2 linked regions of the Drosophila melanogaster genome follow. The protein of the gene in region 2 purifies or fractionates together with the protein of the main gene of each other region. This does not show direct contact. Each region holds a gene or a part of one and is shown on either strand. Other genes may lie near its edges.

The links. The genes of interacting proteins can lie anywhere in the genome.
Region 1: the proteins of pasha (region 2) and drosha purify together in Drosophila melanogaster (affinity purification with western blotting; 4 studies listed by BioGRID, with this or other methods). This does not show direct contact.

The regions. Positions count from the first base shown.
Region 1 is NT_033778.4:7,930,759-7,937,346, reverse strand, and holds drosha (drosha), read right to left. Parts: upstream 4,919-6,588; 5' UTR 4,832-4,918; coding exon 3,310-4,831; intron 3,252-3,309; coding exon 927-3,251; intron 863-926; coding exon 726-862; 3' UTR 507-725; downstream 1-506. Other genes in the region: CG8728 (uncharacterized protein), read left to right, coding at 1-143, 204-376; rnh1 (ribonuclease H1), read left to right, coding at 4,998-5,339, 5,392-5,448, 5,501-5,736, 5,792-6,062, 6,123-6,218; PIG-X (phosphatidylinositol glycan anchor biosynthesis class X), read left to right, coding at 6,471-6,493, 6,537-6,588.
Region 2 is NT_033777.3:31,616,439-31,622,725, forward strand, and holds pasha (partner of drosha), read left to right. Parts: upstream 1-1,989; 5' UTR 1,990-2,099; coding exon 2,100-2,331; intron 2,332-2,550; exon of another isoform or gene 2,551-2,573; coding exon of another isoform or gene 2,574-2,619; intron 2,620-2,802; coding exon 2,803-3,006; intron 3,007-3,071; coding exon 3,072-4,021; intron 4,022-4,077; coding exon 4,078-4,332; intron 4,333-4,391; coding exon 4,392-4,679; 3' UTR 4,680-4,921; exon of another isoform or gene 4,922-5,036; intron 5,037-5,481; 3' UTR 5,482-5,779; downstream 5,780-6,287. Other genes in the region: CG1792 (uncharacterized protein), read left to right, coding at 1-83, 137-834, 911-1,021, 1,084-1,273.

The sequences.
Region 1 (6,588 bases), on a different chromosome or scaffold from region 2:
AGAGCTAATGCGCTCGAAGATCCAGCTTCAGTCCATGTTACTAATGAACCTGGAGTCGAGACCCGTTGTGTTCGAGGACGTGGGCCGCCAAGTGCTGGTGACGGGGCAGCGAAAACGACCGCAGCATTTTATCAAGGAAATTGGTAAAAGCATCTTAATTAATCAATTAATGCTATCATTTAACTCGTTAATTCATATTACAGAAAGTGTAACTGCCGCCGATATCCAACGCGTTGCTCAACGTCTCCTGAGCTCGCCGCCTTCTGTGGCCGCCCGCGGCGACATCCACAATCTTCCCGAGATGAGCCACATCACCAACGCGGTCAGTGGTTCAGGACGTACCGGGCTGGGACGTAGGCTTTCCTTGTTCAAATAGCGCTGGGTGTGAGACCGCCTCCATTGGATATCATTTCGCTTTGTTTACAATATTGTGCGAAGGGCAACCGTGTTAAGTTTAAATTGGCTAAAAACCAAAATTCCCAAAATTCGACTCGGTTATTTTATTTGTTGCTTTAATGGTATTTTTAATTAGGCGACAATTAGAGACAGGCAAATTTTTGTCCTCTAACATCTTACTTAGAAAGTAAGATGTCCTGATAGCAAAGGGGAGAATTGCATCTACTAAATGAGCGATTCATTAAGATAACCCATTACATTTTTACACCGCTCCCACGATTGTCTTACTCAATTTGGGCCTCCTATAGCTATAGCATACGCAAAGCTGTTCATCCCAGCGAAGATTTTGAAGACACCGAGGAACATTTCTTTAATCGGCGCTTGCACTTCGGAGAAGAGGTTGAGCCATCGCTATCACTGCTGCTGCTGCTGCTACTACTGCCACTTCTGTTACTTCTTAAGGGCACTAGAAACGAAAAGGATACCTATAGATACCTATTAATCACAGCACACCGTATCTATTAACTTACTTGTTGGACTCTTGGGAGCAGTGCTTTCGAAGTCTTCGTCTTCCGGCAACTCATCGCTGGAAATGTTCTCGTGCATGCGATATTGCTTAGGAAGATGGCTCTCATCCTGAAGCGGTGTCGCATATTTGGGCCGCTTGATTTTTTCTTCTTGATGCTGGCGATCACTGTCGTTGTCCAATTCGTTGCCCGTTTGTTTCTTTATGCTCTTGGCGATCACGCGCTTTTGGTGATCCAGTTGGGGAAACAGGTCCCTTGAATTCTCCAGCGCCTGCTTAGCGGCGTTCATCTCCGCCTGCTGAATGGAGGAGCCACTTGAAGTGGCCAGCCGCTTTGAGCGGAAATAAACGGCCACCTTGTATACCCGCGTATTAGTTGGACCACTGGCCTCCACCACCTTGTAGTAGGGAATGTCCGGCTCGCCGCCATCCATTGTGCGAAGTGTGAGGCAGCACTGCTGCAGCTTCGACTTGGGATCGTTCCAGTCCTGATTCATGATAAACAACTGAAGTCGCGGGAACAAACATACATGGCAAAACTGTTCACAATACAGGAGACCCTTGTCCACGTACAGGGCGCCGAGGAATGCCTCCAGCAGATCGGCACGATCTTTGGTCTTCAAATCAGCCTTGGGATTGGCATACACGGCATATTTCGGCATTCCCAAATCATCGCAAACCACCGCTTGAGTGCGATTATTGACCAATGAGGATCGTAGCAGGGACAAGTGGCCCTCGTGGTGCTCAGGGAAGTGACGATATAGGTACTCCGAGCAAATCAGCTGCAGCACTGTGTCGCCCAAGAACTCTAAACGCTGATTTGACCCAAGGGTCAAGTGGGTGAAACCAATGGAGCGATCGGTAAAAGCGCGAGCCAAAAGCCGAATGTGCTTAAACTTGATTCCAATAGAGTCCTCGAATTTGGTTAACTCCTTAAGCACACGGTAGGAATCAATACAGCTGCGATCCCCAAGTGGCTCCTGTTCCTGCAACGGGTGCTCCGGCAGATTCTTCCATATACTCAGCAGTTTCTCGTCCTGCCGGAAGAGTGCATCCGTGAACACCTCATCTGCCACCTTGATTCCACCATCCAATAGAAGCGCGCCCATTAGGGCTTCAAAACAGTTGGCCATGGCGTGACGCAGTTCCAACTCGTGGCACAGATCGGATCCGTGTGCGTACAGCATAAACTCTTCCAGTTGCAGCTTTTTGGCCAACAGAGCCAAGTGCTGGTTTTGGACAATTGCCGCTCGGTAAGTGGCCAAACCACCCTCCTCCAGTTCAGGGAACATAAAAAACAGATGGATTGAGCTGAGGAATTCTACTACAGCATCACCGAGGAACTCTAGTCTCTCATTGTGGGTTATGTTCGAAACAGTCTCATGCTCCTTGCCAAATCTGGACATAATGCTCACTAATGTGTTGATACCCCGCTTGCGTGTGTTCATGTAATGGATCTTGCGATCTCCGTACTCCGGCTGACGAATTCCGCAGTTAGTCAGCGAATTACGGGCGTGATCCGGATTGGTACCGTAGTTCTCCTTGTATGAGGGATGCGTCAGCGCCAATTGGAGAAGGTACCGATTTTTAAAGCGGTACCCGATACTCTCCTCTAGCAGGTCCAGCGACTTGTGAAAGCGAAGGTGACCAGTTAGGACAGGAATCAACATGGCATGCTGCACAACGTCGCACATAATGCCGGTGCGATAGAAGCCCTCCGAGCTGATCGCCACTGTGATATTTCGTTTCATGCGCCCCTGAGTTCGCATCTCCTGAAGACGTTGCTCCTTCTCCTCTAGCTTGCGCTTATCCTTGAAAGAGGGCTTCGACATGTTGGCCATCAGATGACGGTACTTAACGTACTCTCGCCACGCCTTCTGGTACTCTGGATTTCCAGCGTAGCTTAGCTGAGGATGACAAATGCCAAAGTGCACGATTGCTGGATGTGAGATTCCAGTCTCGCGATCTACGCACTCGGGCAAATCGGAGTTATTCCTGTCCAATTGGTCAACGCGTAGCGAACACGGCTTATAACCCGGCTTGGTGACCAGCATTCCCTTTATGAAGTCCACGTAGTTTTGCCACTCGCTCTGACTAATCTGGTTAAGATGCAGTAGTTGCTGCCGTTCCACAAGCTGTGCAGAATTATCCAGCAAGTAGCGGAGTACCTCGACCATGGCCAAAACCTCCTTTCCATTATCTGGCAGGTCGCGGACGAAACGCGGAAAGAAGTGAAAAGCTGGGCAGGATTCCTCGACGTTTCCGGACGGTAAGTTGGGCATTAGATTAAAGTCTACCAGCTCTAGCAGTTCATGAAACAGGTATTTGACTGAAATTGAGATAAGATGTAAGTAATGCCTATAAAGAAAAATCTCAATTTTACTTACAAAAAATGTCTAGCTCGTGGATGGTGAAGTTCTCTGGCATCTTCTCCTCTTCGTACTCAATGGTGTACTCGATGTTGAAGCGGATCACCTTGCAGACGGGCAGATCGGAGAGACGCACATGCGAGAGAAGTGAGAAGCCCTCGAATAGAAACTCGTGCTCATCATGCTTGATAATGGTGGGTGTCTTTGTCAGGAAGTTAGTGGGCGGTGAGATGCTGATCCTGTAGTGGAACAGCTTGCCTGCATTGTTGCTGTTTGGATCGCACAACTTATAGCCAGTCTCGCCCGGATATATGCCGTGTCGAATGCCAATGCGCCGGGACTTGGCTGAGCAGCGGCAAAGAGGTCCGTCGTTCATCTCACCGGCGTCGTTGTGCCAGAGATCCGCGTGCACACGCTGCGGATGTTGCACCTTGCGCGAAAGCTCCTCCATGCAGCAGTCTTGCTCGATCTTAAAAGCGTCTTCGTCGGAGTCGTCATCGGATGAGGAGGACGAGGAGCAGGCTTCCGACTTGTGTTTATGCTTGCAAACACGGCGGCGAGCCTTTCTTGGAGGCGGCACGTAAACGGGTAGCTTCTCGCGTACACGCTTTGCTCTCTGCAGGAGCTCCTCATCGAATAGAGTGCACAGCTTTTGCAGACGCGCCCGACCTCTGACTTCGTTTTCGCTCTTGGTGCGCTCGTAGTAGAGCTCCGCTGGCGATGATCGCACCCAGGATTCGACTGGCGCATCCGCCTCGCTGAGGGCGTTCATCTTCTTCACATAGTCCTCTGGTTTTTCGCAGAAGTTAGAACACCACTGTCTCAACAGACGGTCCCTTTCGGTCTCCACCTTCGGTTTGGCCCTAGTCTTCTCTAAGGTCTCATTTCTCTCCCTTTCGTGATGGCCACGTGGCGAATAGTCATCGCTGACTTGGTTTCTGGCTGCAGATCCATAGTATCCGTGTTGCGACCCCTTTGCCTGCCTGTGGGCATAGTGTCCGTGTCGTGGCTCGTGGGCATATCGACTGTCCTGAATTTGACGGTGTTCCTGATCATGTCTTTGTTCATACCGCCTACCCGAGCTATAGCCGGGATAATGGTGGTAGCCTTGACTGGAGCTGTTGGAAGTGTACCTCTGCCTTTCGGATGGAGGTCGGTAGTTGGACGAATAAGCAGGATAGCGGTCTGGGTATTTATAGCTTTCATAGAGGAATGATGATCCGGATGCCGGGTACTGGTATTGGTAATGGGACTCCTGGCCACCATACTTCTGTGCTTGTTCGTTGTAAGCATATCCCTCGTAGCCGTACGCTGGTGGTTGCTGGTACGGATCATAGCTAGGTACTGAGCTGGCATAAGGAGCCGGTGTCTCCGGGTAGACGTAATCCAAAGACTTCGAGCTCTGAGAATGGGATTCATTTGAAGAATAGTTGTGAGAGGGAACACCTACTCCCGGTGGAGATAGATCTTCTTCTGGCGGAGGTGGCGGGGGCGGAGGAGCAGGCTGGACTGGAGGCGGTGGCAAAGGCGGCTGGTACATGGCGAAAAGTTTTGGGAAAATCTTTGGCAAAATCCACAATTATACTTTTTTCCACCCACACCTTTTACCGCGATTCGAATGATCTGGCAACTCGACCGGTTTGTTTACATTCGCACATCCGGCAAGGCCGTGCCACATATGTTTCGATAGACAACGTAAGAAAATTATGTTACTTCCGCGGTATTTTTGCTGGAACCTCCAACGCTGCACGATGGCGTTTTACGCTGTAGCCAGTGGGCGGCGGTCTGGAGTCTACGGCTCTTGGGCAGAGTGCGAGGAGCAGGTCAAGGGTTTCAAGAACGCCAAATACAAGAAGTTTAAGACACGCCAGGAAGCGGATCAGTTCGTTAATGGCTGCAAGTCGTATGCTCCGCAGGATGTGGCCGTGCCGCTGGGCAAGGAAAAGGCGTCACTGGCCAGTTGGAAAAACAGTATCGAAGTGAATAAGAACCCCAAGTACACAGATGAGTGGCCCGAAGAGGATCACGACCTAGCCGAGGATGATCTGGTAGGCATGAATATACATACGTTTGCAAAGTCCTGACCTTTCATCCTTTCAGAATGCTGCCATGAACGAGGTTGAGGGAGATCCAAAGCCATCTAACAGTAGCAATTTAGTATGAGACCGTAGTACATACTGTAGAAAAAGTTAAACATAGCTTCTTTCAGCCAGACATTCTCAATCGCAAGCGGAAGGGCACAACCAGCGGCGATAAGCGGAACAAGATCCCACGTCATGCCTCTCAGGTCTCAGAAGCCACAGGACTCAAGCAAGTGGGTGCCTTCCAGTTTGAAATCGATGCAGAGGGCTATGTCATTGTGTACACAGATGGCTCCTGCATAGGCAACGGACGAGCCGGAGCCTGTGCCGGCTATGGCGTTTATTTCGGCAAGAATCACCAGCTGTAAGTGGTAACTGCAGCACAATAACTTTGCTTTTAACCTATATGTTCTTTGCAGAAACGCAGCCAAGCCCGTGGAAGGACGCGTTACAAATAATGTAGGTGAAATACAAGCGGCCATTCATGCCATTAAAACAGCTCTTGACTTGGGAATACAGAAGCTGTGCATCAGCACAGACTCTCAGTTTTTGATCAACTCCATAACGCTGTGGGTTGCGGGTTGGAAAAAAAGGGATTGGAAGCTAAAGAACAATCAGCCTGTTAAAAACGTTGTTGACTTCAAGGAACTGGATAAACTGCTTCAGGAGAACAACATCACCGTGAAATGGGTGCGTAACTAAATTTAAATAAGGTCCTGGAAAATACTTGACTTCAGTTAATATCCCCAGAACTATGTGGAGGCCCACAAGGGCATAGAGGGCAATGAAATGGCAGACAAATTGGCGCGGCAAGGATCCGCCTTGTATAAGCAGAAAAATGGTTGAAAAGCTATTTTAAATTTACCGTATTTTTAGTATGTAATTGATATGGCAACGCTGAATAAATTTTAGTTACGCGACAGCCCTGGTCCAAATGTTTTTATTTACAATTTACTTCAGTCGCTTTTAATATAAGTTAGTTTGCAAAAAATGCATTCCAAGGGAAATAACCAGTGCTTACTGTTCACCTTGGTTTTGGGCTTACTGGGAGGCGCGGGACATTGTTATGTAGTCGAACCACCTATCGTTCACGTGGAAATGGAAAAAGCCGGCATGCACAGGTTTTTATATTGGAGAGCGGTTTATGGATTACCTGAATTAAAGTGATAAATGTTTATGCAGGACCCTTAATTACCGTCTGCGGTTCGATATACCC
Region 2 (6,287 bases):
TTTTCTGTTCGACGCCCAGTAACCTCTTCGAGGAGCCCAATTCCGTAATGCTGCACCAGATCGAGGTTCTTACTGGTTTGTTTGTGAGTACCTTTCTATTTTTGTGTTTTCAAACTTAAGTCTGGATTATCCGTAGTTGCTCGGCGGACCCGGGAACGAGCTGCCCCCCTTTATTTGCTCACCCTGCGAATTGGACCTGCAGACGGCGATTGCTTTCCGGGAACGTGTGATTCGAACCCAAAAAACGCTGCAGGAAAGTCCCAACCTGGGGAACGCGGAATTGATCGAATCCTTCGCAGTTGGTGTGGAGAAGGAGATTCAGTACGCTGAAGAGGTCACCGAGATCGAGGTTATAGACCTTCTACCCGAGGAACACCTGCTGGAAGAGACGGAAGAGCCGTACGAAATATGTGAGCAGAACGAGCAGCCCCAAGTGAAGGTTCCTGCGCAGGAGAAGAAGCTCCGCAGAAGTACAAAGACCACGCCCACAGTCTTTACCTCCGTTAAGTTTGCGGACAATAGCCAGGCCACGCGCACCCAGTGGAGCAGACTCACCGAGGACGAAGTGGTGGCCCTAAAGCGGGAGCGACGCAAGCGGGATTGCATATGCGAGCAGTGTGGCCGGCACTTCACCTGCCCCAGCAACTTCAAGTTGCACCTCCTCCGACACACCGGCGTAAAGAGCTTTGCCTGTGACCAGTGCTCCCAGCAGTTCTACACTGCTACGCTTCTGCGGCGCCACCAAGAACTGCATGCGGGGAATGCTTTGTTTCAGTGTCGCTACTGCGAGGCAACCTACAGCAACGCCAGCGGACGCATCCAGCACGAACGCATGTACGACAGAACTCGTTCCCATTCATGAAACGTCTAATGCTTTTCACATATTTCTGACCACTTTCCATTTCATCAGGCGCCACACGAATGTCAAGCCCTTCACGTGCAAGGAATGCAATAAAAGCTTTGCCATGAGCGGAAAACTCCGCACGCACATGCTGAGTCACACCGGAGTGCGAGCGTTCCAGTAAGATCTTAGTTACCTGAAGTTTTATTGAGGATCCTTGACTCTGTTTATCTGTTTTTCAGCTGCGACTCCTGCCAAGTCTCCTTCGTTCGCCGCTCCCACCTGACCTCCCACTATCGCTCAAAAGGTCACGCCCACACTTCAAGCGCCCAGGCGGCACTGGACAATCCTGTGGAACTGGACGTGAAGGCCAGTAACGGCATGCAGACAGGGGCTAAGGATGAGGCTTTACTAGGAAAAAGTGGATCTTAGGATAAACTGTACTAAAAATCAATGGATCCCCGATCTGATATTCGGATTAATACTCAATGCACTTAATATTAATCGAAAATGGAATATGTTCAAATATGGCTGTGTTGAATAAAAACTGATTTTTTCAAAATGGCCAATAGAGATTACCTTACTTAGGCTGCGCACTAATTTTTAGTTACATTATTTTTATGTTTTAAAATATAATAAAATCTAAATTCGAACATTGTTTACCGGCTTGGGGAGTAGCCAGCATTTTAAAATGTCATGAGCCTGGTCACACTGTCTTGCACTAAATAAATTAGGGGGCGTCTTTAAATTGCAAAATTTCTTGCAAAATCAGTAGAAAAGTGCTTGGAGCTGCTGTTACAATAGATCCTAAGACCAAACGTTCTTCTCCGGAGGATAATACCTGGAACCATCACTAACCCCAATTCAAAAGTGTCAATCTGTTTCCGCAAAACTGCATGTGGTGTTTGTTTCGCTTGTTTGGTTATTTTTCCCAACTAACATCCTCTCTCTAAAATCTCGATTTCGTACTTGAATTGCGCAGCTTTTGCTTTGGGATTTTGTCCGACAATTAGGCAGAATCCATAGCGAAAGACGCAGCAAGTAGCATCGTTTACAATCCGCGAAAGTGCAGTCGCAGAATTTTCCGGCGGGGCTTCTGGCTTAACCAATGTGGCACTTCCAATGAGAAATCAATTGCAAGGCGTTGGATGCTCTCAGTATTGGTTATTGGCGAGATTGGCCCCGGGACAGCATTACTAGACAGTTCCGATCAGTCCGCACTAAACCCCTCCCGCTTTAGACACACACATCCAATACAATGGCGGAGAAGCCGCTGGCCGACTGCCCGGACTCTGGGCAGGTCCGCAAGCGTCCCCGGCTGGAGGACGAGGAGCAGGAGCTCAAGGTGGCCGGCTTTTCGCTGAGCGCCATCGAGGAAATGCGGCGGACCAGGGACAACGAGCTGCAGAACGAACCCATGGACCAGCAACTGCGACAGTTCCAGGTTCTCGACGAAGTCGGCTCTGGCAGCGATGAGGATGATGAGTCAGGTGAGTCGGAAACGAAGCTCGGATATTCACTCAGGTCATCCAGATCACAGGCTGTGCAATTACCACCTTTTGTTTCACAGTGCAGGCGCAGTTCTTATCTCAAGATCTTGGGGGCCTATCATTGTGCAAATACAGGAGGCTGATAAAAGAGTCAGCCGGCAGGTTAAACCCTGATATAGCAGCTTCAGTTTTCCTTTATCTTATTGTAAGGCAGGTGGTGGCAGTTTTGTGCGGACAGTTCCATGCGCATGATACCCATTATCCGACTGGCTTGTCCAGTTGCGTCAGGTAGAGCCAGTAATAATGAAGGATCACTTTAATTAAACATCAAAGAGCTAGACAATTAGGTGCCAATGGCATTCATTCAAATATTCCGTGAAGATGGCCATCAACTTCGCGGCTGGTTTTCCATTTCCCAGACAAACAGACAACTTATTTATCCGTGATTGTATCTCCTTACATGGCAACCAGACAACGCTAGCGAGCAGCAGGGCGGAAGGTATGGAGAAGGAGGCGACGAGGAGGAAGAGGCGGCTGATGGTGACGGCGAAGAATACGATTCCTCGGAATTCGATGATGACGAGATCGAGAATCTGCTGGACGAGAAGCTGCCCGAAGAGCTCCGCGAGTCAAAGCAGCCCAAATACGAGCAGCGTTTCAAGACTGTGCTGGAAGGTCAGTGCTTTTCGTCGAACCAAGTGTCCAAGATGACGAGTATTTTAATGTGACTACTCTTTTAGAAAAGCGCCTCAACCACTTTGAAGTCCTACCCGAGGGATGGGTGCAGGTGACCCACAACAGTGGAATGCCGCTCTTCTTGCATCGCAAAACTCGCGTCTGTTGCGCATCGAGGCCCTATTTTCTCGGCACTGGAAGTGCCCGCAAGCATGCAGTGCCCTTGGGAGCAATCCCCTGTCTTAACTACAGGCGGGCTTTGGAGGAAGAGTCGGAGGTGGAGCAACAAAAGACGGATGGAGCGCCGCCAGTGGCTGTATGTCCCATGGCCGGAGCTTCCGCTTTACCGGCCGAAGCCATGGACGTGGAGGGAAAAGAGAACAACGAAGGCAGCACCGATTCCAAAACCCAACCAGATGGAATAACTGCCCTTATGCCGGCTGCTAAAATTGTTACGGTCAACGAGAATACCCAAAAGGAATCCATTACACCGGAGCAACTAAACACCTACTGCCAGAAACTCTTCAAATTCAAGGTGATTCGTGTGCTGCGATTTCGGAGTTGGAATGCTCGCCGCAAGTTCACCAAAAACCGCAAACACATCAAGAATATTCAACGACCCACGCTGCCGGATGGCACTAAGCTTATTAAGTTCCCAATACTAGCGAATGCTGGCGAAGGATCAACGAACCCGCGCGGTCGGAAGGAGTGGATCATGAATCCCAATGGCAAGAGCTTCGTCTGCATCCTGCACGAGTACGTGCAGCATGCTCTGAAAACGCAGCCCACCTATGAGTTCAAGGAGCTCCAAAACGCAGCCACGCCTTACTCCGCCACCGTATCGGTGAACAATCTCAAGTATGGCACGGGCTATGGCACCAGTAAAAAGCAGGCCAAGTCAGAGGCGGCTCGGGAAACGCTGGAAATACTCATTCCCGATGTCAAGGACAAGATAACGGGCAACAATAAGGACCAAAAGAGCGGCACTGCGAAGAAAGCGCAGAGCGATCTGTCTGTAAGCAATCTACCTATAGAAAATGGAACCACTTCTTATTTTTATATTTCTTGCAGGTTTTCGATGACATCCGCATCGAAGATCCCCGAGTCACCGAATTCTGCAACAAGACGACGGAGCCATCTCCCAACGCCATTCTGCTGACTTGCTTGCAGCGCAACTACGGCAGCGATGTTCAGATCAGCCAGGAGATCAACCGCACCGCGAATAACAAGAACGAGTTTACCATGACCGTGGGCAAACATACTGCCAAAGTGGTGTGTAAAAACAAGCGGGAGGGCAAGCAGTTGGCTTCGCAAGCAATCCTCCAGGTGAGCATTGATATTTCTTTATAACTTTACTTATAGCTATTGAGTTAACCTTTCGTCAGATTTTGCATCCGCACATCCAGACCTGGGGTTCCTTGTTGCGCCTCTACGGCAACAACTCCATAAAGACCTTCAAGGAGAAGAAGCTGGAGGAGCAGGAGATCACCGTGCTGCAGAGCAAGGCGGCAGTCAACCAACCCAACTACGCCATACTGGACAAACTTAAATCCGAGATGTTGAAACTGTGTGCCAAGCAGGAGAGCGTCCTAACCATGGGCACTTTTGTGCCGCCAAGCGACGTCGATCTGCCCACTTCCTCCGGGTCCAATTTGAACAACGTGGAACTTTGATTGGGAAACACACATCTCTCTCGCCAACATTGATTCTCTAGTAGTGCATGACAACCTCCTAGTCTCTTAGTTACCCACCCATTTCCATATTCGAAAAGCTAATGACAACAACGACGCGTTCTCTAGAGGCATACGAACTGATTTCAAATCGGCTTCATCTATCTGAGCTGGTTAATCTGAAGTGGCTTTAGCAAGTGGCCAAAAATGAAGAACAATTGCCTATCAAGTGGTTTTACATTAAGGTAAATTCATCACTAAATTTGCCAAATATAAGTAGTTCATGCTTGCAATAGCTAAGATTAGGGGTTCAATTTCACTTGTATAATATAAGCTTGAATAAAATACTATTAAAAACGCAGTCCTTTATATTTGAGTATAGAGATGTTCGTCTAAGATCTTTATCTGCAATACCAATTAAAAAAGTAGAGTTCTTAAGTATTTGACAACTATTCATTTGGGCAGACAGCAGGACAATTATTTGCTCATGATTTGTTTATCAAATTTCCTCGTAAATCTTCTCGTATCGCTTTCATTCTTGGAACGTTCAAACACCATTGACCCGTAACCAATTTGGAAGACATTTTAAAAAGTCGTATGGAATATAAAAAAATGCATATTTACATGGCCATTAGGATTCTCGGGTGTTTTTAGGCGGTCGGTCGTTAGGTGAGTGGATGTTAATATTTAAGGCGGTGGGCAGGGTGTAGGTTCGTAGGTGTGTGTGCGTGCAATTATTTAAAAGACGATGCAGTCATAAATTATGCTACATTTTCATTTCATTCTAACGTTTCCTTTTTTATAGCATTCCAACGAGCGTGGCACACACACATACCCACCACGGAGAATGCGGAGAGACAGTCGCAGAGAGAAAGTCCGAGAGAGAGAGCGCGGGAGAGCGGCGCAGGCGCAGATCCCGGATTTTGCGCAGCAGCCATGCTGCGAGATGAATTGTGGCGAGTTCTGACTTGCCAATTCGCAGGCCATATCTGTATCTTCAGTACGGATTCTTCGCGTGGCGAGAAAACCACTTCCCGGCGCTCCTATCCTCAGGACTTTCGTCTGGGATTTGTAATTGAATCACAGTAACTCGGGACAGACCGAAAAAAAAAACGGGGAGAAAAACAGAAAGCCAAGAGGTGAATTCGGTGGTACAGCTGAAAAAAGGCCAACTGCAGTGCAGAGCAGAATCATTTTTATTGACATTCATCTTAGTTGCCCCCTCATCCCTCGGTGCCCCCAAAAAAACCAACTTCATAGCCCCCCAGTTCCTCGATTCTCGACTCTCGACGTTCGATTCCCGGTGCTCGTGTGTCGCGTGTTGCAAGTGCGTGGGTCGCGCGTCAAATCAGTGGATGTAGCAAGCGGTACGACACGCGCGCCGTTTTTGATTTTTCGCCCAGCGGCCCAGAAATCGGGCCTGGGAAAAAAGTGCGGATATTCGGTGAAAGACGGAGCACTCGGAAAATAAACGGAAAATCGGGTACACACACGCACTCCTGTACACCGTGTCCAATGCATTTGGCCCGCTTGGCCCAAGCACTCGGAGATATGTAAATTATGCCAAATTCCATTGGAATTTCCGTCAGAGCCAGTGAATCGGTAAGCAGC